3 linked regions of the Oryzias latipes genome follow. The protein of the gene in region 1 purifies or fractionates together with the protein of each later gene. This does not show direct contact. Links are inferred from orthologs where the notes say so. Each region holds a gene or a part of one and is shown on either strand. Other genes may lie near its edges. The genes, in order: rad9a, rfc5 and clspn.

What was found.
Region 2: the proteins of rad9a (region 1) and rfc5 purify together in Homo sapiens (affinity purification with mass spectrometry; 3 studies listed by BioGRID and IntAct, with this or other methods). This does not show direct contact. The link is inferred for Oryzias latipes from reciprocal best matches to the Homo sapiens genes RAD9A and RFC5.
Region 3: the proteins of rad9a (region 1) and clspn purify together in Homo sapiens (affinity purification with western blotting; 3 studies listed by BioGRID and IntAct, with this or other methods). This does not show direct contact. The link is inferred for Oryzias latipes from reciprocal best matches to the Homo sapiens genes RAD9A and CLSPN.

Annotation. Positions count from the first base shown.
Region 1 is NC_019868.2:13,967,333-13,975,593, forward strand, and holds the end of rad9a (cell cycle checkpoint control protein RAD9A), read right to left. Parts: 5' UTR 7,665-8,261; coding exon 7,631-7,664; intron 7,553-7,630; exon of another isoform or gene 7,524-7,552; coding exon 7,453-7,523; exon of another isoform or gene 7,334-7,452; intron 7,328-7,333; coding exon 7,254-7,327; intron 7,170-7,253; coding exon 7,121-7,169; intron 5,861-7,120; coding exon 5,746-5,860; intron 5,654-5,745; coding exon 5,554-5,653; intron 5,445-5,553; coding exon 5,338-5,444; intron 5,019-5,337; coding exon 4,912-5,018; intron 4,817-4,911; coding exon 4,752-4,816; intron 4,667-4,751; coding exon 4,568-4,666; intron 3,540-4,567; coding exon 3,302-3,539; intron 3,287-3,301; exon of another isoform or gene 2,697-3,286; coding exon 2,589-2,696; 3' UTR 2,255-2,588; downstream 1-2,254. Other genes in the region: ecotropic viral integration site 5 ortholog, read left to right, coding at 1-2,187. UniProt on the Homo sapiens protein: Component of the 9-1-1 cell-cycle checkpoint response complex that plays a major role in DNA repair. The 9-1-1 complex is recruited to DNA lesion upon damage by the RAD17-replication factor C (RFC) clamp loader complex.
Region 2 is NC_019867.2:3,440,541-3,448,584, forward strand, and holds rfc5 (replication factor C subunit 5), read left to right. Parts: upstream 1-2,960; 5' UTR 2,961-3,101; coding exon 3,102-3,148; intron 3,149-3,400; coding exon 3,401-3,465; intron 3,466-3,539; coding exon 3,540-3,676; intron 3,677-3,758; coding exon 3,759-3,838; intron 3,839-3,929; coding exon 3,930-4,003; intron 4,004-4,334; coding exon 4,335-4,494; intron 4,495-5,581; coding exon 5,582-5,663; intron 5,664-5,733; coding exon 5,734-5,863; intron 5,864-6,558; coding exon 6,559-6,829; intron 6,830-6,913; coding exon 6,914-7,013; 3' UTR 7,014-7,050; downstream 7,051-8,044. Other genes in the region: ksr2 (kinase suppressor of Ras 2), read right to left, coding at 1,436-1,609; wsb2 (WD repeat and SOCS box-containing protein 2), read right to left, coding at 7,491-7,713. UniProt on the Homo sapiens protein: Subunit of the replication factor C (RFC) complex which acts during elongation of primed DNA templates by DNA polymerases delta and epsilon, and is necessary for ATP-dependent loading of proliferating cell nuclear antigen (PCNA) onto primed DNA.
Region 3 is NC_019869.2:20,041,277-20,049,361, forward strand, and holds the start of clspn (claspin), read right to left. Parts: upstream 4,473-8,085; 5' UTR 4,203-4,472; coding exon 4,176-4,202; intron 3,544-4,175; coding exon 3,435-3,543; intron 1,032-3,434; coding exon 694-1,031; intron 624-693; coding exon 471-623; intron 395-470; coding exon 335-394; intron 258-334; coding exon 185-257; intron 111-184; coding exon 8-110; intron 1-7. Other genes in the region: protein argonaute-4, read left to right, coding at 6,968-6,986.

The sequences.
Region 1 (8,261 bases):
AGGATGGTGTGGACAAGAGCTCGAGAGAAAAAAGCAGAAAAAGAAAAAACTCAAAAAGTCAAAGGGAACCTGACTCTGTCTCTCGCTCGCTCAGCCTCTACTCTTTCGCTGTCACCTTCCCTTCTTCGCAAAAAGTGGAGGAAAGTAGGAAAAGTCTCCACAGATGACCCTGAAGGTGGTAAAAAAGTTGTGAGGCACCTTTCCATGGGAGAAAGGGGCGACTGGAAAAACTGGACAGATTTAAATTCCGAGTTGGCAACCAGTGTTCAAGAAGAAGAGGAAGACTTCATTTCAGAGGGAAACAAACCACAGAATTTTTTCACAACAACAACAGAGCAAGAGAAACTCAAAACACCAAACCCATCAACTGAGCACGCAGGAGAAAAAGTCATCGTAACACTCACACCTCCATGTGAAGAAGAGGAAAAGATAGAGACAACCAGTCAGAGTCAAGTCCCGCAAGAGCAAAAATATGAACAAATTTCCCAGGAATCTGAATTTGACAAGAAAAACAAGGAAATAGACAAGCCGGAGGCAGATGTTGAGCACATGGCTTCAGTGGAGGACGACCACGCCGAGATTCAGGGGGAAGCGGTGCCAGATCCAAACACAGAGGTGCAGGAAAATGTAGATACCAGTCAGATAAAAACCAATATAAAACAACAAAAAGAGGCAGAAGCTGATAATGTGGAGCAGATACAGGTGGATACAGTCACACAGACATTGGAGACAAAAGACGAGAACGATTTAGACTCAGAAGAATTCAGCAAAGTAAAAGATTCAGCTGCCAAAGACCTGATAAAAGACACACAACAGGAGCAAGAAGAGCTGACAACAAATGAATTGAAACCTGCTCTTGTGGGACAAAACCAGAGTAGTGAGGCATTAGCTGAGATAGAAACAACAGAAACTGTTTCACAAGATGTGATTATAGAGACCTCAGAGGAACCTGACGGGATCCCAAATGAATCAAATTCTGAACTAATAGCAACAGAAAAACAAATAGATTCAGAAAAGGAAGCAGAGAGTGAAGACGACGCACCCAAACCAGCATCACCTGAACAAAGAAAGATCCCTGACCTCACAGATGATGCAGAGACGGATCAAGAGGTTGCAGCTTCACCAAACATAGAAACATTTGTGGCTGAATTTATAAAAGAAATAATAAAAAATGTTGTGGCTGAACTCTCAGAGACACAAAAAGAGGGATGTATTGTTGATCAAATAAATCTAAATGAAACACAAGGAGAAACAACGGAGGACAACGCAAAGTTTGTCGCTTTAATGGAAGGTGATGCAGCGAACCAAACCGCTGAGCCCGAGGACAAGACTCCAGAACAAGAACACACTCCTGACTTGCAAGCAGTGGAACAATTGAACAGCCAGGCCACTTTGAGTGTTGCAGACCGGACGGAGAGCACAGAAAAAGTTGCAGAAAACACAGCAGCAGAGAACAATTTCTTCATGTCTACCCAGGAAACCCACGAATCACCTCCAGGCAGTATTCTACAGACCCAAGACCTAGATCCAGACTCCAGAGAAAACCAGGCTGACTCTGAGAACCGCAGTCTGGAGAAAGGACTTGAGTATCGCCGCAGCAGCAGGTCCTCCAGTGACTTTTGCATGCGCCGGTCGTCTCACTCACAGGGGTCAAGGTTAGCACGCAGACTTTCTGAGGATCTCTTCACCTCCCCAGTGAAAAGCAGCAGACCACAATGCACCACTGATCCCTCAAAACCAGATCCTGGAACAGTAGATGTAGTAAAGACAGATGTAGATGAGACATCCGTGAGACTCCAGGAGAAGCAGCCAGACTATCCTAAAGGTTTCGGCCTTCTGCGCAGACTGAGAGGGGAGAAGCCAAAAAACACCAAAGTAAAAATGCAAGTGCCCAAAATCTTGATTCAAGATTTCAGTGATGAAACGGTGTCAGAGAGACTCATGGACGGAGAGGTGGAGGGAAAAATCAACTCCAGAGAGAGAAGGAGGAGGCGGAGAGAGAACGAAAGAAAGGAAAAAGAGGAGGAGAAGCTCAAGAAGAAAAAGGAGAAGCTGGAAAAAGGGAAGAAGAAAAAAGAGGCGAAAGCAAATAGTTTTCAAGTGAAGACGGAGAACAGTAGCGGCGATGTCGCTCAGCCTGCAAAGACTGGCTCACATGCACTGACTTATGCTGACTCGTATTTCTGACAGGAAACATTTTGAGTTGAACATTAATGAACACGTGAAATCTTTAAAAGTAAATTATCTTTACACATTTACTTGAAAAACATTTATTTGGTGGGATTTGACATCCTGCTTCTGCTTTACATATCAGACATATTGCAAAACCAAAAAAATAAATAAATAAACAGAAGTGCTTCTTTTTCAGTTCTATGTGATCCCAGATCAAATCCAACAAGAACGCTGCTGGCCTCTCAGTAACAAACAGGGTCCATGTAAGCCTCACAGCGGGCGATAAAGGGGAGCAGCACAGTCCAAACTGCCACTTTTTTTTTTTATTGAAGAAGTCCTCAGGTCGTGATGCAGTAGCCTTTTCACATCCCCTCTACCGTCACGTCTACCTGCAACTCCCTTGTCTGTCACCCCGCTTAAGATTCATCCTCACTGTCGCTGGCCAACACCTCCTGAGTCGTCACAGGTTGTGTACTAATCTTGGGGGATGGAGGAAACACGGATCCAAAGAAAAGGGATCGGAACTGTGAGAGGAAAAAAACACGAGACGTTAAAAAATACATCATTTTCTACTACAAAGACAAATAGTTATTTTAAGTTGTTGATTTTTCTGTAAAGGCCTATGGAGAAAAAAATAGATAAACCAGTAAACACCCCCATGCCATGTTTGTATAATTATTATTTGCTTTAATCAACACTCAAAATTAAATAATATGCAGTTAGAACCCTTGATACAACAGGTCACAAGTGTTCTCTTTTTAGTGCCAGAGTATCAAGAGAACTGTTAGGGATTGGAAATAATCTGAGCTGCATGCAGCACAAAACTATGGTAAATCTTGTTGTCAACAGTGGGCTTAAGGAGCTGTTACATGGTGTGTCAGCAGACAGACTGAGCAAATGTAGAGCAGTAATCCCTCTATGGATGTACATGTCAGAATAATCTGTGACATCAGAGTAGATGAAGTCTTTAGCAATTTCTATGTTTTCAAATTTGTTTTTACCTGGTTGGTGTTCCAAACCATGTTTTTGCTGTGTTTGTTGGATTAAACCTGATCTTTAAACCTGGAAACTCAAGTTAAGCTTGTGTGTGCAGTGATTAAAAAAAAAAAAAAAAGTATCTAAACCAAACCTTTTTGTTGGGTGGCCTGTCAGAACCATCCTCCATCTCCTCTTCCTCCTCCTCACTGTGTGTTCTTGTCCTGTGATTGGCTTCAGGGAGTTTTGAGGTACAGGGGTCGGTTAGTGTTGATGCTGATGGGCCAGCAGTCGAGGGTCCTGATGCAACACTGGTGTCCATGGCAATTAGGTAGGAGTCCATGTCATCGTTCATAAAGTCATCAGGAGGAGGTGACGGCGGTGCGTGAGCTCTTAGAGTGGACCAGAAAGTCCAGAATGGAAAAAGAAAAAAAAAGCGCCGTGACTAATTTACTCTGACGTTTCAACGCTTGTAAAGGAATTTTCCCTGAGGCTTTTTACACATTTCCAGACATGCAACTCCTCATATTTCAAATACCTCAAGTCCCATGTCAACCAAGTGATTGCTTAGAATTGTTGATCCACAGGTTGTAAGGAAGACGGATTCTTCATTGAGTATAAAAAAGTCAAATGCTTTTAATCAATCCGTCCTTTTGCTTTAGATCGACTTCATTCTGCTACATCAATGATCCACTCCACTAAAAATTATGTTTTTGGTTTTTTTAACATGTTTTTGTGGCCTTTTTCTAATTACAAAGGACATACATAAACAATAATAATAATAATATTATTATTAATAATATTATTATTAATAGTATTTCTTTAGTCAAATCATTGTAAATCAGGTCGCAGACAAAAAATGCTGCTGGAAAAAGCTTGTAGTTGTGACATAAAAGCTGCAATCAGCGGTTCACAAGCTCCCCGCTCCGTTCCATTTTGATGCATCCACTTGTAGACAAACAGATCCATGATCTGGCTTAGAACTGTGTAGCTGGATAGCTCCAATCTGGCTCGCCATTTTTGTTGCATCTGTAATGTTAGGTTTGTAGTGTGAGGGGCTATAAGCTAGTGGAAGAGTATAGGAGCTCTTTTATACTTGGGGGGGGTCTCGAATTTTAAGTAAGTATTCAGATTACCTGTTTTTCATTGCTCCATTTGCTGCAACTGAAAAGGTTTTTTATAAAAACTACCTGGGGCAAAGGCTAGGGGAAAATATACGACGCTTAAACAGAGCTTTCTTTACCCGCCACATGGTATAGTACATAAATGCTGACAGGCTTACTTAAGTAATTTAAGTTACTAGTGAAATGGCAATGCCAGATTTTATTTTTGACATGCATATTCATCTGAAAATGACTGTCAATATCTGAACTGAAGAGACAAGACATACTTCCAGCTTTTTCTGTGTTTGTGTGTTTACCCTTTGCTTTTGTTTTTAGGAAGGCTGGGGTCGTCTGAAAGTGTAGCCAGCACAAAGTTTCCCTCAAGGACACCGTCTGTCACTGAAAGCACCACGGGACTGATGCACAAAAAAAGCACACATAAATATACAGAGAATGAATTCAGATTACAAACGGCAAGGGTCTGACGATAAACGCGCTCACCTTCCTGGTTCATCAAAGTACATGGAAACAGGAAGATTGCTGGACTCTGCAAACACAAGCAAACCCTGAAAGACAGGTGGCATTAAATATAGAATATGTCTATATCTACAATTGCTTTTGCATGGCTCCCATGATTTACTTGGGAAATTAAAAATCTCACCCGAAACTCCTTCAAACAAAAGGTGACACTGTTAGGAGTCTTGACAACAAAATGGTCAAACTCATCAGAAGCCAGACACAGCTCTGTCAGCATGGCCTTGGACCGCTCTGAGGAAAACGGGAAAATTGAATGAAACACCTGCTGAAAAGAACTCCTTTGGAATTTTGCGTCCGTCAGAAAAAACCTGGTCAAACTACCACAAGAGCCCCCATTGGTTCTAAATCAAACTTCTTTCTTTTTTATCCATCAGCAGAGTGATTTAAACATTTCCAGTTAACAACTATATGCATGTGTTACAGCTGAATTTGTAAATATGAACAGTTTGTATTTTACATTTTTTTGGCAAATATGTCTGTACAGTAATTTGCTGATGTTTTAAATAAGCAACCATTTGTCGCTTCCTCCTGAAAACACCAGTGGTGTTACCTGTTTCATCCTCCACATGGTTTCTCACCCACATCCGCTCATCGCTCACCGTCACAGTCACTTCTTCCAGAGATGGAGGGAAGTGGGCGACTGTATCCACCAGCACCCTACAAAACACAGTTTTCATTAGCAAAACTGCTAAATATTCTCCTTTTTGCTAATAAAAACTGAAGGAAATAGTATCAGTAAAGCCGTTTGACAACAATATTTATATACCTTGGCTGCGCTCTGAACTCATTGGTGCAGGTGTCTTTATCAAACACTGCCTGCAGACTTTCACTGTCCTGGTAAGACAGGTTGTGTGTTTTTAAAAGGCCTATGGAGAAAAAGAAAGTAATAAGAGACGATTAAGATAAATACGATGAATTGATGACTGTTGAGTAACTGGATGGAGTGAAGCACTGTTACCATGTTTGCAGTGCAGGGTGAAGGTGAGGCGGTCTTTCTGCTCATTCAGCTCAATGTGACACTTTTCTACCGTTTTCTCCAGAGTTGCCAAAGATCTGAATACAGACTGTACACTCTGACAAGCACAGAAAAAAACAACAACAAATAAGAGAAAAATAATGAATGCACGTGTGTCTGAACATTTACAAAACAACATATCCTAACTGCTTCTTTTAAAAAAGGGTTAAAGGTTAGACATTGATTTGCAAAGTGATGTTACTATTAGGTGAGCTTTCACACAGCAGTGAGAATAGGCGTATTTGGCCCCTTTTGTTATTATCTACAACTGCCAGAGGAAGGAAGCTAAGAGGTTTGAAACATTTTCACTCAGATAACCACAACATTAAAGTTGCTACATGGCAGCAAAGAGATAACTTGAAATCAAGAAAACGGGTTTTAGCTCAAAAACTTTCACTTCTAAACAGTTAAATCGGATAACAGTCGGTAAGCAATCATACATATTCCTATTCTTAAAATTGAAAAAGAAATAGATTGGGGGAGTTTAGGAGTTTGAAAAAATAATAATAATAGTCGTACAAATGCATCGTATGACAGTCAAGATGTCAAAGAAGGGAAATAAAGGGATTTTTTTTTCTAAAAGGGGACAAAAATATGTTTAATGACTAACCAATAAAAGTAAGCTTGGACTGCCAAACTTAACAGGACGGGTGAAAGCTATAAGTGGCAGATTAAAGCAAATCATATCAATGTCATAAATCTTTCATCTGATCACGTTTATATTAAAAACTTTAATTGCAATCCACCTCTTTATTTTTAGAGCACCTTTCATCAACATGCTTGACATAAAAGTCATATGTAAACATAGGTTAAAAAGTCATAAAAAACAGTAGATTAAAAGCTTAAAAGATAGAAGGGTAAAAACATACTAACGATAACATAAAATACTGAAAAGCCAAATAAATAAATAAGTTAATTATATGAGTTACGCAGTGCTACGTTAGAATGATGCATCTTTAATTTACATTTAAAAATCTCCACGGATGCAGAAAATGTCAGATCTGCAGGTAAGTTACTCCACAGATGAGGAGCACTGTACTGAAAAGAGGCCTCGCTGTGAGTCCTGGTTCAGATTAGAGAGCAGGACCTGAGGATCTGACAGTTCTGGAGGAAGGAGTATGGAGATGTAATTGATGCTAATAACAACTAAATGATTACAAATATTACTAACAAATAATGGTCAAAGTATGTTTTATTGGGAAATGTACTTAATAAAGGACAAAGAAAAGTACTTGGAGTCATCTGATGATGAGCTTTGGGATTTTTCACAAAAAGATAAGCAGATTCACTTTCATTGGTAAACAGCTTGAGAATCCACCTTTATTGCTATCTTGCAGCGGAAGTTTCTCCCGTCGGGAATCGAGTACCTGCACAAAAACACGGGCAGTTGGAAGCTGACTTGCATCACTGACACGATCTGTGATTGATTGAAACGAGAGCGGAGCGTGCACCTGCTGAAGAAGAGTGGTGCGAACAGGAAGCAAGCATATGCCGACCGAGAAGAGTTCACAGACCGCAGCGCCAGCTACAAGAGAGAGATGCATTCAAATCAGCACCATTCGTCGACGCAAACAGGAAGTAAGCAAAATATATACATGATGGTTGGTAGGAGGAAGTGCTGGTGTTTCTGACAGCGTCAAAGCAGCTCACCCCGTCTTCCTGGGGCTCCACGTACAACTCATCACCGATGCGCGACAGAGAATGGATAGCTTTGGCCAACACTATTGAGTGGACGCACGCGCCCAAACAGGTAATAACGACAGCTTTGTTATTATTATCAATGGTAGTAGCACAATTGTGTTTCAGTGACAGAAAAATCCTGGTCTACCTTTCACGTTTCCTCCCGTCACGACACACTGCATTTCTGCAAACGAACTTTCCCCGTCGAGTTAGTCTAAAATGAATCCAAACTAGCAGCTGTGCAACACCATCGAAATAATTAAGGGGGCTTTCGTATGTTGCACGTACAACACAGACGCACTTTCTAAACTTATGCTTAAATGTTAGTGGAATACCAAATGTTTTTTTAGGAGACTGCAAGACAGTTGAGCCAAACCTCACGTTGTTTACGGCGCCACAAGCTGCTTCCGCACAGTTGACCAATCAGAGTTACTGAATTTCGAAGAGGGCGCGGCTACACCCATGCACATGCGCAATAGCTTTGGTGTTTTTACTATGAAATTTCTTTACGTCGACACTCGCAGTATTAAAGGATTCAACCTGTCTTTACAACTTATAAAAATATTATTATTTTTTTATTTAACAGACTCCGAAGCAAAGTATATAATATATTTTTCTGATAGACGGACAGCAACTTAACTGTGTCCACTCCGTCCACCACAGCCACCCACTATCACTCAATATCACTTTCCACTTAACATATTACATCAAATTCGTCTTTTTAGTCTACTTCTGTTGAGGTGCCCACTCCCCCAACACATTACACCTAAGAGCAAAGC
Region 2 (8,044 bases), on another chromosome or scaffold:
ACACTCTCCCACTGGCTTACAGCCCCTCATCACCCCAACGTGACATTGTGGGTTTAACAAAAATGGTGAGAAATATTGGCGCTATCCAGCCGCAGTTTTAAGCCAGATGCCAGTTCAGACGAGGAAAACGAAGATGTACATGTCATCTACAAGTGGATGCATCAGGATGGAGCGGAGCAGGGGGTTTGAGGCTTGCTGTTATACAAACCCAAAACCTTTTCCGTTTTTTGTCTACTCCGGATTCACGATGATTTGAAAAAAAAAGAAATACTCCGAAATGCTATTTTGATCTTAGTTTTTTTAAGAAATGTCCTCCTTCATCAGAAAGAAAATGCCACAAGATCATGTGAAAAACACAGAAAACACAATTTTCATCAGGGACGGCCTTAAAAGAAAGCTAGATTTGTAACAACCCCACCATTATGTTTGATCTTCATTCATCTTTAAAAAATTATAACCTTTGCAAGTGCATAATATAATTCTCACAACGTTCCTGTTTGCTTTGCACTTTCCAGCCTGATGTTTGTGCTCCATGTTTATGGATTAAGTGTCTCCTCAATGAAGAGCTCAGACATGAAGCATTAGAGCAGCATGTTGATGTGTGCAGCACTCTCTCTCTTTCAGGTGACTTTATGGTCTCGAATGTAGCTTTTCAGTTCTGTTAATCCCCCTGGGGGGGGGGGGGGGGGGGTTAGAGTGTGTTGAAGGCGTGCAGAACCTCAGATGGCTTTATGGGCCTCTTATTGCACTTAATACTGTTTGTTTTAATCTCTTGGGACAGCGTCGTCACATTCTCACAGGTGTTTATGGCTGCTCTGCGTCCGCAGCACTCACGCTGACCTTTCTTCCTGCGTGCGGCGCTCTGACTCTGAAGCAGGTCCGCTGGCCGGTTAAAGGTGGACCATCTCAAACGCAACACCGGGTTATTGTGACCGTTACATAACGTAATTTACAGAATACCCCCACGGGCCAATTAAAGGATAGGGATGTTTTGTAACCTTGTCGGTATAATCTGGTCGCCTTGCGTAACGGCGGCTGGGTTTGGGATGAGCCCAGAGCGCGCGCAGGCTGGCATGGCACACCGGCAACGGATTGTAAACACGGGGCTGCACGCGCAGGCCTCACGTATATATCTGATGAAGAGGAGAGCCACCTTCTCTTCCCGCCACCTGCAGAATGCGCAAGTCTCCAGCAGCCCACTGCAGCCCCGTGGCCTCGAGATTTATTGCACTGCACAGACAGAGCCGCGCGCACGGATGAAAGGCTGTGGAGCTTGGAGCCCCTGCATATGGATGCAATGACAGCACCAGGGTAGTTTGCTGCTGGGAAAAAAAAAAACAGCATAAACGTGCAGAGTGGCCTGTAAAAACTGACAGCCCTGGGTGATGCTTTAGTTGAGGATGCAGAGCAGTAATTGAGTCAGGGAGCCGCTTACCTCCAGCGTTCGGATCTCTTTTTGTGTCAAGTCGTTGGATGTGGCACATTTGGTCCGTAAACCCTCCAAACTAGAAATGCTTATGTCAATCATGTTCTGCACCAACTCGCACTGCTGCAAGGCTTTCTGCAAACTGAGATGCTGCTCCTCGCTTTTTGTCATCTCCTCGTTCATAGTTTAGCGCGCGCTGGATGGTATTTTTTCCCCTTAGTTTGTATTTCCAAGACAAAAAAAGAAGAAGAAGAACAGAGGGTTAAAAAAAGAGGATAATTCAAGAAAGAAACGTGGAGGAGCCCGCGGAAAAGAGCAACCAGCACAGCGCAGTGGAAAGAGATGCTGCAGGCTTAGACTCTGGCTTTGAGCCGTGAGAGGGTCGCCTCCATTGCAACAACAGTCCTCGCAGCTCCAGCTGGATGATCAAGGATGTAAACTAGACCAAACTCAATGTGAGGATGCGGAGCGGGGCTGAGCGGTCTGCTACAGCATCCATCGGGCGTCCTTTCCGTTCTAATGGATGCTGAGGAAGGGGGGGGGGGGGAGAAAAAAAAGGGGGGGAAAGGAACCAAATTTGCTGCTCAGCGCATCCTAAACAGCCGGATCGGGTAGAACCTGGCGGTTTTAAAGGTGCTGATGTGCGGATTGGATGCAGGTACTCCCTGTCTCCCTTGGCAGCAGCTGCATCCCGGTTCGCTCCCACCACACCGACATGTTTCCCGTCAATCAAAGCCACAGCAACAGCATCGCAGCGCCGCCGTAAGGGGCCGCTCTCGCGTGATCACGGCGCGCTCAAGTGGGTTCTCGTCTGCTGGACGAGAAACGCATCATCTGCGACAAATGATCTTTATTTTTCAGGGTGATATTTCATCAAATTAAACATAATTCAGCAATCTTACTAAAATGCAAACGAAGTGCCTGTTAAACTAAAAGGTTAAACAAAATTTGAAAACATTTTTTAAAACATTTATTGTGTGTACTCACCCAAGTTATTAAATAATGGGGGGGGGGGGGGCATGTTTTACTTATTTATTTATTGTTTTTGGTTGTCGCCTGGTTAGGTAGCTAAATAGTTAACGTCTAAAGCGTATATTCTAAATGAAACGTATTAAAAACCAAACAGATTAAGAAACTTGTGTATTTTTCTATTAATTTAATTTACCTATTTTACGAAATACTTATTGCACAAGTTAGATAGAAATGTATGTACATCAGGGGATTAAATATTGTTTTTTTCCTGTTAAATGCTTTAAAGTCTTATACAAATCTTTAAAATTAGTCTGATTTCCACAGCACATTAATTTTCGTTCTGAAATGTTCAAGAAAATCGGTCAAAAATGTTTTCGCCTACGGATAAATATCAAACTAACACAGAGATTTCTATTTTACAAGATAATCAACTCAAAAATGTTTATAAAATAAACAAAAAACAATTTTAAGCTTTACTTTAGAAAATATTAAAATTCTTCAATTGATATTGTGGTTTTTTTTACAGTTTACCTTCAACATATCACCATGATCCCACCCACCGGAAAGCAAAACGACATTCTGTTGGTGTTACGTCATGACGTTGGCGTGCGTTTCTGTCGCGAGCGCGGCAAAAGGAAGCGACATAGAACAGACGGGGTTTTTCCTCTACTTGCCCGGCTAATAAATAAAGTTACCGGGAGTCATGGCGTCTACGAGTAGGACCCCGTTACAGAGCAGAAACCTGCCATGGTGAGCCGCGACGAACGAGACGTTTGAGAAGCGGCGAGAATGTCGTTGTTGTCTAAGACTAAGCTAGCTGCTCCTTCAAGTTCTTGTTTGTCTCCAGTCAGAGGCTGTGCTTTTTTTTTTTGTTTTGTTTTCTTTTAAGTTTGTTCAGCTTTTTAAAGGCCTACACACTTCTTAAAAAGAAGGGAAAAAAAGAAATATTCTACTAAACAACGTCTTTGTTTTTGTGCTAAAAGTGTTTGTTTTGCATTTCAGGGTAGAAAAATATAGACCACAAAAACTCGATGATTTAATTTCACACAGAGACATCCTGAGCACCAGTAAGTTTGTTCATTTAAGGAAGCAAATCGACTCTGTGGTGTCCAGAGTTCTGAAGGTCTCCATGTCTCTTCAGTCCAGAGGTTCGTCAGAGAGGACCGGCTTCCTCACCTCCTGCTCTACGGGCCTCCTGGAACCGGAAAGACCTCCACCATTCTGGCCTGTGCCCGGCAACTGTACAAGGACAAGGAGTTCAACTCCATGGTGCTGGAGGTACCGTCTCCACTCAGGATCTTTAGTCTGCAGGGATTTTCTCATCTCCAAGGGTCCTGATTCTGATTCTCTTCTGTTCAAGCTGAATGCTTCAGACGACAGGGGTATCGATGTGGTCCGAGGTCCCATCCTGAGTTTTGCCAGCACCAGAACCATCTTCAAGTGAGTCGGTACCGCTCCAGCTCTCTGTGACCTTCTGCAGAGATTCCCTCCAGACAACTCCAAACTCCTTTTTCCTCCCTTTGATCCCCAGGAAAGGCTTCAAGCTGGTGATCCTGGACGAGGCCGATGCCATGACCCAGGATGCCCAGAATGCATTGCGGCGAGGTGAGCCATCTGTTCGCCTAAGTATGGCTTGCTGTGAGCGACACGGCTCACTGGGCAGCCAAATCATTTGGCTGATGATGCATGGGTCTGCATGAAAACACAACCGTTTTCTAAAATAATCCTTTGCATTGATTTTGTTGATTAAAATTTTTTTTTTCATAGGTGTTGAAAGTAGGTTATCGTCAACGATCTCATAAACGAATTAAGATGTTTGCAGATTTTCAAAATAAGACGATTTTAAGTAACTTTATCCCATTGAACTAACGTTTTGGCAGGTAACAGTCTGTCTTTTTATTTTTGTAAACTTCCTGCTGTCTCCCGTACGCCTCAGTGATTGAGAAGTTCACAGAAAACACCCGGTTCTGCCTCATCTGCAACTACCTTTCCAAGATCATCCCCGCCCTGCAGTCCCGGTGCACCAGGTTCCGCTTCGGGCCTCTGTCGGCGGACCAGATGATCCCCCGGCTGAGGCACGTCATTCAGGAGGAGAGGTGAGGAAAACCGGGACCGCTTTCGGCCTCTGAAGTCTCTCACTTTCTGAGTCTGTCAGAAGCATTAAAAACGACTGTGATGTTGACATGAAAAGATGCTTTCAAAGGATTTTTGAAAAATTAGGACTATAAATGGAATGAAAAACTTTACATTCTCGTTTCTGCCATTCGCATTCATCGCTTTTTAAGCTTTTCATTAAGAATCTCTCAGTTTTCTTTTTTTCTTTTTTTGATCCGATTTCACGTTTTTTTATGCTGATACCCGAGTCTCGCTCCAATACTTTTATAACACATTTTAAAAGTTGAATAAACAAATGCAGGTTTTCCCGTTTTTATTCTATTCCCCCTTTATTTTGTCAGAAAAAGAGCACCTCTGTGAACAATTAAGTACAAATAGTGCAACCATCAACTAGAAAAAATAACAAACTATTAACTGGTAAAAATAGTTGATAATTAGTCATGTGAGAAAGTTTGGTGACTGTAGCTTTGGCTCTTCAGAGCTTTTTGGATCAGATGTGATTTTTTTTTTTTTACTTTGGGAAAAAGAAATACCCATTTTTTTAAAAGGCATGAATATGATGAGTATTTATGACTTAACTTATATAAACAGAACCATTTATGTATTTGTGTTGTTTTTGAGAGTTTATTATCTTCTGATCACTTTTTCACAGAGCTTTCTTTTTGTAGACGGTCCCTTAGCAGCTCTTTTCACTGCCGTTTCTCTCTTTAATTCTCCGTATTTGAAAAACACATCGCATTTTTCTTTAAAGGTCATCGTTTACGTTAAGACAAACCAATAGAGACACTTGCTGTCAGTTTCAAATGTTAATTAAAAGAATTTTGAAACCTAGAAGTCCAAATATCCTTCAGACTTTACCAAACTGTGTTTGTGCGCCTCCCGCTCAAGCTAGTGCCATGTTTTTGCTGCGTTTTAGGGCAATAAGATGTTGTGATCCGTCCATGAGATGCAGACGTCTAGTACAGGATTTATCTGTAAAAATAAGCTTTAAATGCATAGCGCTGATCATAATAATTTTCCTCTTTAAACTTCCTTTTGGCCTTTAATGAGCTGAATCTTGTCTGGTAGCATCGACATCACCGAGGATGGGATGAAGGCCATCGTGACTTTATCGTCCGGCGACATGAGGAGGTCGCTGAACGTCCTGCAGGTGGGACCTCCTCACTCCTCCTGCCGGGATGTTCTCCAGCAGAGAGGAAAGACTTTTCGTGTCCTTTCAGAGCACCAGCATGGCGTACGGGAAGGTGACGGAGGACTCCGTGTACACCTGCACGGGACAGCCGCTCCGCTCGGACATCGCTAACATCCTCGACTGGTGCCTCAACAAAGACTTCACCTCGGCTTACAAACGTATCCTTCCATCAAACCCACATACAGAGCTGGAACCGCTCTTTTAGAAATCTAGACTTTCATCCGTTAGATCAGTGATCCCAAACCTTTTTTGGCCTCCAACGTTTAACGTCGGACTATGGTCGTGTCCGAATTCCTTCCCCTTTGTAGAGCTGTCCGAATCTACAATTCCCAAATCCAGTGTCCTGGAAATTTCCCAGAAGTCTCTGCGAAAAACCAGTGTGCATCAATGCTCACTAGATCGATAGACCACAATGCATTGCGTCGGAACATTTTTTGCCATAAAAAAAGTATTTTTTAAATAAACCATCAACGTTTTTATCTTCAGCAGACTTGTAAATACTCGTCGCAAAACGCTCATAGTAATTAGATTTTCACTTTGTGAAATCGATGACGTCATATCCGCCGTTAAAAAAAGAAAAGTAGTGAGCAGGGTGTCTAAAATCCAGGGCACTACATAGTGCAGCACTGTATAGTTTTTTTTCACAGCGATCCGAACGCGGCAGAATCAGCTTTTCAAATTAAAATGCTCATGAAATGAAGTCTAAAAAACATTTTGACAATATTTTACAAATAATGAAGATTCAGTGAAACGTAGTTTTTAAAACTCATTTCAGTCACGTTTCACTTGGATTGACTGAAGAAGTTTCTAAAATGCTTTTTTTTGTGTGAATCTTTAACCTTTTTGATGCCAGAAATCCTCCAGCTGAAAACTTTGAAGGGTCTGGCTCTTCATGACATCCTCACCGAGCTGCACCTGCTCGTTCACAGAGGTAATCCAGCAGAAATACTCCCATTACCATCGTGGAGGGAGGATTTTTTTTTTTTATCCTCCTCACAGTTTCACGTCTTAGTTTTACATCCTAAAGCAAGCATCTCCTCTGAAACGTTTTCCTCTTCCTCTGCTGAAGTGGATTTTCCTCCTGCTACCCGCATGACTCTGCTGGTGAAGTTAGCCGACGTGGAGTGAGTGCCGCCGCGCCGCCTCCCCCTCCCCCCCCCCCCGCATGAACGCTACAAATGTGCTGACGCGTCTTTTTTCACTTTCAGACACAGACTCGCTTCGGGAACGGACGAGAAGATCCAGCTGAGCTCCATGGTGGGGGCTTTCCAGGAGGTCCGGGACCTGGTGGTCAGCGAGGCTTCATGAAGTTCAGCAGAATTAAATACTTCAAAGACCCCAAAAATGTCCTCGGTTTTTCTTTCTTTTGTTGGTGCATAAAATCATTAAAATAAACACAACTTGCCGGTTAAAGCCAGATTGTTCTTCCTGAAAAACATCATCTTTCAACTTGGAGATTGAATCATTTTAATAATTATTATTGTTCCTTCCTGTTATCCAGTATTAAGGTGTGCAGGTTCTGCAGAAGCGCTCCGACCACCAAAGGGTTAAAACAAATATTTACAAAATAAATTAGACATAGAAAACTGTGATATTCAAGCTAAATTAGCAGAACATTTACTAAATGCTTCTTAAAGTAGTAGTGCAATAAATGAAACTCTTAGTGCAGGATTATTTAAAGTAGAATACACGAGCGGATTTTCCTTCTTTATACGGCAGTTTTCCATCAGAAAACCAAAACCAAAAATAAAGGCCTTTTGAGATGAGAGTGCGGCGCGCTCCTCCTCAAGACTCCCAGTCCTCCTCCTCGTCATCAGAGGAGGAGGCGCAGTTCCTGAGGCGTTCGGGGATGTTTTTATAGGTGAGGTATTCCACGATCCTCTTGGGGAGGGGCAGCGCCTCGATCTGCTGCGTGGAGACGGAGAAGCGCAGAGCGGACCGGCACAGGTGGCACAGGCTGGGGACGGTCACGGGCGCCCTCCAGAACCGGACGTGGCCGTCTCGGGTTCTGTGTGAGGAGAGACGGCCGTGGAGTTAAGGTCATCGCCGGAGGGGAAGGTCAACAGGATGTGGAGGGCGATCAAGTTCGACATTCAGCCCCGAAGGGACAAATATAAAAGCAGGTCTGTTTAAAGAGCCGCTCCAATTATCTTTTGATCTACTTTCACAGCGTTCCCAGCGGTCTTTGAATTAGAATGATGCAGTTTTTAGCCAAAAATCTGAAAAATGCTGCATGAACTCCATTGAAAATTGTGTTTTTGTGGCATTTTTCTGATGATAAAGGACATGTACAGAAAATTTAGCTCAAACTTGCATCTCCGAGTATTGATTTGAATCGT
Region 3 (8,085 bases), on another chromosome or scaffold:
GTCTTACTTGAGCAGTGCCATTGCGGGACCCTGGGGGCGGGCTTTTCTCCTGTAGAAGTCGTGGATGCTTTTGGGCTCTGGGATGTGGTATGGCAGACCCAAAGAGGACTCTGTGGGGGCAGGAGGGGATGTTAGCTCAGGTGGAGCGGGTGGGGGCGCCGCAGATGGGCGGAGGAGCGCTCACCTCGGATCAGGCGCTGCGACTCGCTGTGCAGCTGCTTCATGGCCTCTCGGCTCGCCCTCGCCGCCTTCCTCTCCTGTGGACAGGAGAACAACAAGTTGATCACATGACTGACACTTCCCTGGCTTGGGGGGAGACTCTGGCTCCGCCTACCGCGCGGTGGGGCTTCTCCGCTGCCTCGTCATCGTCATCCCCCTCACTTAGAAGGCGTTCCTAAAGAAACAGAACCTTTGAGCAAGGCTTCATCGTGGAGCCCCAGCAGACGGCTGACTCGGATATTTATCTTAACCTCCTGCTTTTTCATCTTCTGCTTGACTGCAGCTCGGATGGCGTCCAAAGATTCCTCCTCCTCCTCTTCTTCGTCGTTTAGCCCTGTGTCGAACAGGTCCGTGTCGCCCAACGGACACCCGCTGTCGTTCAGCGATCGCGGCAAAGCACCACCCTAACGAGACAAGACGGGTTTTTACCTCACCATCTCTCTGTTCCGATCCGTTTGAGCAAGCAGAACTTACCTCATTTTCATCGCCAAACCTCCTCCTCTTCAGCTTCTCCACCGCGTTACTTCGCCTCTCCTGTTTCTCACGCCGCCTCCGGCTCTTCTCTCTGTTCTTCGCCTCTGCCTGCTGCGACTCCTCCCTTCCATCCGACTCGCCGTCCTCGCTGTCGGTGAGCCGGTGGGCAACTCTCCTCTGCGCTCCTTTCCTGCTGCTCTGCTCCTCCTCGCCGCTGGATAGCTGCTGAGCTTCTGCCACAGGGAAGCCGTTTTCTGCCGCTTCCTCCTCCTCGCTGTCACTGTCTCTGATGGCGACACGGCGAGGCTTTCTGTGAGCCGTGATGTCATCATCAGAGTCTGCAAAAACAACAACAAAAAAGAGAATCTGTAAAAAAAATAAACATGAACCGAGAATGAAGACTTAATCCTGAAGAAGGTGTTCACATTAGACACAGAACCTCAGGGCTCTATTCTCGGCCCTTTCCTGTTTTGTCTTTATCTGCCTCCAACAGGAGGAGGAGGAGGAGGAGGTTGTGGAGGAGCAGTCATGAGTCTGGTTTGTAAAACAGTGCAGCTTTTTTTCTTTTTTAACATAAATAATAATTTGCGACAAAGCTTCATGTAAAATTCATTTTTTTATGTTTTATCTAAAAACTGTTTTTTTTAGAGTTTCCTCGTGTTTCTCTAGGCATCCCGTATCAGAGTGACCCAGAGAAGCACTGCACGTTTTTCCAACATCCCGATCATTCTAGATCAGTGGTTCCCAGCGAATGCGGGCCGGTACTGGTTCGTGGGACAGTTAGTACAAAGAGAGACAAAAACACATAGAATTTGATTCTGAGGGAAGTTTTATTTAAATATGCATGTCAAGGTGGATTTTTGTTTATTATTTTATTTAGAAAATGCCAGTTTTAGTGAGTGTTTTCTTCTTCTTTTTTTATCCGTCGCACCAAAGTTTTTTTTTAACATTTCTGAGTTGAGGGAAAATCTAATTCACATTTTAATGGTTCATTCATCTTCTAAATCTGTTTATTCCCTTTCGGGGTCACGGGGCTGCGGGAGCCTATCCCGACCGCTCGTGGACGAAGGCTTGGGACATCCTGAACAGGTCGCCAGTCTGTCGCAGGGCCACAAATCTCAGACCCATGCACTCTCACATTCACACCTATGGACAATTTAGAGTAACCAATAACCTGTGAAGCATGTTTTTGGACGGTGGGAGGAAGCCGGAGAAAACCCACGCATGCACGGGGAGAACATGCAGCCAGTTTACACAAAATGTAGAGAACAAATAATGTTTTAACAGTTGCTGATGTTTTACATAGGATGAAGATAAGAGAAACGGAATCTGACCGGTCCATGAGAATTTTCACTATCAGTCTGCAAGATCTTCCAAGAATATTCTAAAACAGAATCATGGGGGGTGGAGCCTTCCTGGTTAAGCTAACAGATCAGCGCAAAGTAGCTTTTCTCCGCCTCAGAACCTGTTGGACTTATGTTAACTGTGTGAATGGTTGATGAGTTCCAGTAGTTTGAAGAATGGCCAAACCGATGAGCTATGAATAATCTCTAAAGCTACGTTTACACCGCGCGTTCAAGCGGCCACTTCCGATAAAAGGCTATGGAAACGCGCAAAAAACATGCTGTTCAGGCTTCTAGGTTCGGATCTCTAGCGTTCACGTGTAGCTACACAAGATTACAAGTTTTCGGGCTCTACATATGAAATTCACATCCATTGAACGTGCTCTAAAATATAAAACCAGGTCAAACCTTGACCAATCGGGGGCTCTGATTTGGTAGTGACACACGGATGGCCTCCCTTCTCATTTAAGTGCCAGCTAGGGCTGCGCGATATGAGGAAAACTCGCGATATGCGATATTGGTGGTTAATATTGCGATAACGATATAATTTGCGGTATATAAACAAATAGCAAAACAACCAAAAACATCATTTCCATTTCACTGCAACAGTTTAAAAATCATACTCCAAATGACCCTTGTCGACATAGGAGGCAAACATCAAACATAAAAGGGCTCATCTGATTGATCAACAACGTTAACGGGTCCTTCCGATTGGTTAAACGCATAAATGGATTTATTTGACTCATTAAATACTTCAAGCTGCCGTGAGTTTGTTTTAGCACATTTAAGGTAACCATTTATTGTGATTTTCGCCGTCTTTTGCTGTATGCATATTGCACAGCTTGATGTCCCGATAACGATAAATTTGCGGTATATTGTGCAGGCCTAGTGCCCGCCATTTGAAAATGGGTCGTGGAGGATAAATGATTAATTGCGGTTTGTTTCCGGACAGAATTACATGAGACCAAGTCTTTCATATATCGGAATAGAGATGTGGGGGGGAAAAAAGGCAGATTTATGAGATCTGCACCACTTCAACATTTCGCACCAAGCCTCTTCCAACTGTAGTTGAAGAACCCCTTCCTGCCTGTCCAGTGTGGGTTAATGCACGTAGCTGGGATGAACGTTTTCCTCACATGTGCATGAATATAAATGCTACTGTTGCATTCACTGACTTATTTTATACGTTTCACAACAGATCATCCATGTTGTAGAAGAAAAACTGAAGTTACGCTGCAGATGTGAGGCCAGGCTAGAACAGATGATAAGGGTGCGTTTAAAGATTAAAGATACACAGGACCTCTAGAAAAAAACTAATCCTTTGTTTTTTTGTTAGCAACATAACCAAACAGCACAGACAGAGTGAAGGCAAGTGATGTCCTCGTTCTGCTTCAGTACCTGGGGGGTCGTCCGTCCTCCTTTCCGTCTTTGCCTCCCCTTCATCTGCCGGAGAACCCATCCCGCTGTCCGAGTCGCTCTCCGGAGCAGCTGCTGCTGGCTCCTCTGCCTGCAAAGGAGACGAGAGCCGCAGCTGTGACAGCGTGCACGTGCCTGACGCACCTTAACTACATCCTGTGGATGGTGCGTTCACGGTCCGAGCAGCGGTCGGTTACACTCTGTTCCCAAAATGTAATAACCCCCCCATTAATCTTTTTTTTATGTTCTTTGACCAAAATTGAATATTTAAAACGTAAACTACAAGCATAAACAATCAAGTGTTTTGTGTGACAGAGAACAGACGAATTCTTCACAAAAAAAGTAGATGGCGCCCCTAGCAAAACAACAATGAAACGGCCGCGAACTGTTGCAAACTAGACTTTAACAACTTAAAACAGGATTTATACTAATATTTAAAACCTCAAAAGCCTGAAAATGTTTGCTTTAAATCCTTACAACTGTCCAGCAGGTTGAAATAATCATTTATTTTGAATTAATCAACTGAAACAGTACTCAAACCACCCGACAGCTAAGCTAGCCAAGCCAACTAGCGCGCTTGATGCTAAGGCTAAGAAAAGAAGCGAATAATTTAAAATATTCATACTAATCTATTAGTAACGTTTATATGGTTAGTCTATAAACACCACTACTGTCAATAATCAGGTAACTAACACAAGGATTTGTTGATTTTAACTTCCTCACTTGTTGTTGGGACAGAACCAGGCTCATCTTTGTCTCCGGTCAGTCAGTGTCTGAGTCTCTGCCTCCTCTCACCGAAAAAAACCTGCTCGGACTCGGCTGCTTCGATCTGCTACGCGCGTTACAGACGCGGGATAAAAGCAGTTCCGAGCAACAACCACTATTTTAATCTTTCAGGGAACATTCACAACCACAGACGGTGTCTCCGTTCTTCTCCTCCCGCTTGTTCCAACAACCAACACGAAGGTTTGAGCTTTCGCGCGCCGTGACAGCTGGTTCGCTTGGGTTTTATCGCGAGGTGTCAATCTGTCCTTTCTCGTGTTGTGATTGGTGGGTTTGGGACAGTTGGATCCAACCACTATGACGTAATCATTCAAGAGTTTGTATGTTTTATACACCGCGTATGGGTACAAAGGCGGAGCTTGGCGCTTTTTCCTGTAATTTACGCTTTAAATTTACATTGAAAAAAATAAAAATAAAACATTCAGTCTGCGGTATCACTGCAAACATATATATTCATACAGCACGCTTGAAAACAACCTCATTTGACCAAAGTACTTTGGTTACTAGAATGACACGACTAACAAACAAACAACACTTTCGTCTTAAAGCTTCCCCAATACAAGAGAGACTCTCAAAATAAGGTTCTACATTTTAAAACTGTTTAAACAAATAGATTTAATCTGAATTCTACAAGTGAAATAACATAAACAGAATTAAAAAGTTTAGTTGAATTAAGACAAAATAATCCAATGCAAAAAAGCCAGGATATACTATAGGATACATACATGCTTGTTTGATTTTATTATATTACAATGTTATCTTTACTACTTTTCCCTTCCTTACTGTTCTTGCACTGATGGTGATGCTTAAATCTCATTGTACTATGCACAATGACAATAAAGCCAGTTTATTCTATTCTATTCTTCTATTCATAACTATTGATTGTGTTTCATAAACTCCAATCAGTCTTGGCTTTCTTCTCACAATATAATGTTTTTAAAAAAACGTAAATAAATTAAACCGTGGGCTACACGGCGGTGCAGTGCTTTGTGCTCTCTCCTCACAGCGAAAAGGCCCTGGTTCAAATTCCAGCTGAGAGCTTCTTGTATGGAGTTTACAAGTCCTCCCTGGTCATGTGTGGTTTTTTTTTCCAGGCTCTCTGGCCTCCTCCCACACTTCAACATATGTTGATTGGTTACTTTAAATTGTCCCTAGTTGTGAGTGCGTCTCTGGAAGTGATTGTGTGGCCCTGCAACAGACTGGCGACCTGTCTGGGATGTACCCTACCTTTGCCCGACAGTAGCCAGGACAACCCCATGACCCTAGAAGGAATTTAGCGGGTTAAGAAAATGGATGAAAGTTACTACAGTTTAATGTTCTCTGGTTTTTAACCAGAGTAGTGAACTTTTGTCTAATATTGCATTCACACCGGATGCAGTTTGAGTATCAGTTTCACGTCTGGTGCCCCTCTTTTGACCCCCTTCAAATTTACTGCTTGACGCCTTGACACCCTTCTTTGATTTTTGAACACCCCATTGCTCTTTCAATGTTTGTATAACGTAAGACATAAACATTTTAATCTTAATTATAAAACTATTTTGAAAATGTGAAAACACAAAAAACCTAGCTCCTACTACAATCAGACAGTGGGGGGTCGAAGGGGGGTTTAAGGGCAGGGATGCCAGTTTAGCTTAGTCAGATTGTTAGTTCATTTTAGTATTTTCCTATTGAATTCTATGTATTCATGATCCTTTTGACTTTATGTTTCACTTTTTCAATTACCGATACGAAGCCCATCGAGACGACTGTTGTTGTGAATTTGGGCTATATCAATAAAATTGAATTGAATTGGGGCAAAAAAGTATTTATTCAGTCACCAGTTGTGCAAAATCTTCCACTTAAAAAGACGAGAGAGGCCTGTAATTTTCATCATAGGTCTACCTCAACTATGACAGACTAAATGAGAAAAAGAAAATCAGGAAAAATCACACTGTCTGATTTCTAAAGAATTTATTTTTAAAATATGGTGGAAAGTAAGTATTTGGTCACCTAAAAACGATTTCTGTCTGTCACAGACCTGTAACTTCTTCTGTAAGAAGATCCTCTGTCCTCCACTCATTCTGTATTATTGGCATCTGTATGAACTGGTTATATGTACAAAAGACACCTGTCCACAACCACAAACAGTCACACTCCAAATCCACTAAGACCAAGACCAAAGAGCTGTCTAAGGACACCACTGGCACCTTCACTTTCCATGCTTTCTCCAGTTCTTCTCAGAGTCCTTGGCATTTCTCCAGTTTCTCATGTTCCTTATTCCTGATGTTCCCATCACATATACTATACATATACTGCCACATCCATATATATGTACATATATGAGATTTTTTACAAGGTAAGCTTACATTCTCGTGTTTGAAATATAAGAACTCCTTCATTAATGTATATTTTAAGATTTTTTATCTCAAAGAATTAAACCAGTCCAATTTATTTAAGAAAAACATTGAAATGCACCAAAACTGTGACCGACTTGCATCTATTTCAAATTGAAGGTACGCGACAGCAAATTACGCATGCGCAGTGCGCGTCCCACGTCTTCTGAGAAGCGCAGGCGCAGATACAAATCCCCACAAGCAGTCGCGGCAGCTCCAGTCAGAGTACAGTCCGCCGCGCGTCCATTTATATTTCCGTTTTTTAGATTAGCCCCTTTAAGCTTCGCAATACCGCCCCCAATTTCAGCGTCGGTACGGAGCCGCCAGGCCGGGACAGAGACGGAGAGAGAGGCCTCGGCCATGGAAGCACTCGGACCCGGTAAGAAATGTCAGAAAAACAGAAGCGGCGAGGAGTGGAGGCGCTAGCCGTGTTTGGGGCGCGTGAGCACGGACGCGCGGACTCACTGGGGGCCGAGGCCGGAGCGAGGCCTCAGCAAGCTTGCGGGGGGAAACAAACCGAGGCCCAGCCCGTCGCAGTCGGACCGTGGAGCTCCACCGACCGATCGAGCGGGGGTCGGTGGGTGTTTTCGCCAGAGGTCCGCGTGGGTTCAGGCGGAGCGCCCGCAGCCGCGTCATTTGGAGCAGGCTTTGTGTGTGAGGGGGATTTAACTGGCAGCTTCCTTCTTCCTCCTGGCTGCGCGTCGTGCGGTGTTTATGTCGGCGCCTGTCGCTTGTGCCTGTCTGCTTTCACAACAACAACACAATTTGCTCACGATAGACTCACAACTCTGTCGAAATGCAATACAGTATCGTGTTTTTCTTTGGTTAAAACACCCCACGTTTTTCACCGTCGGCCGCGGCTCCCTCACTCGACTCGATGACAGCGGAGGCTGCGAAAACAAAATGAATGCCAGCAAAACACACACACACGCGCGCGCATTTTTTTTCCTGTCTCGTGGGTTTCACTGTTATCGGTTCACGCGAGCCCTGAGCCGTCTCAGCGGTGCGCTAGGATCGACCGAGCCCAGCTGGGTGAAACGCAGAGGATGCGGCTCCCGCATGACAACAAAGACCCGCAGAGAGCACGCGGGTGCAGTGGCGCGCGCTCACCGTCGCCACCTGTGAGATGTTTTTGTTCCTCAAAAGCGCTTTTTTGGGGGGGTTGATCCACGCGCGGGCTTGATTATATGCTGCTTTGGAGGGGATGTGAGCGGTTTGGGTCCAGCTTGCGTTTCTGATTCAGCAACACCGGACTGTCAGATTAACACGTGTCCTTCTTCTGGACATGTCCAGTTGGATTGATGGGCTGAGGGGAAGGTTCAGTGTCTGAGCTGCTTTCAGATGATCAATGATCTCTCCCACTCTCCAAGTGAAGAACCTAATAATGTTTAGAGGAAGTCCTGGTATTGATTTGTTGCACAGTTTGAGTTGTACCTTTTATGTTAGATAAGTCACAATTGAAGGGTTCTCATTACATC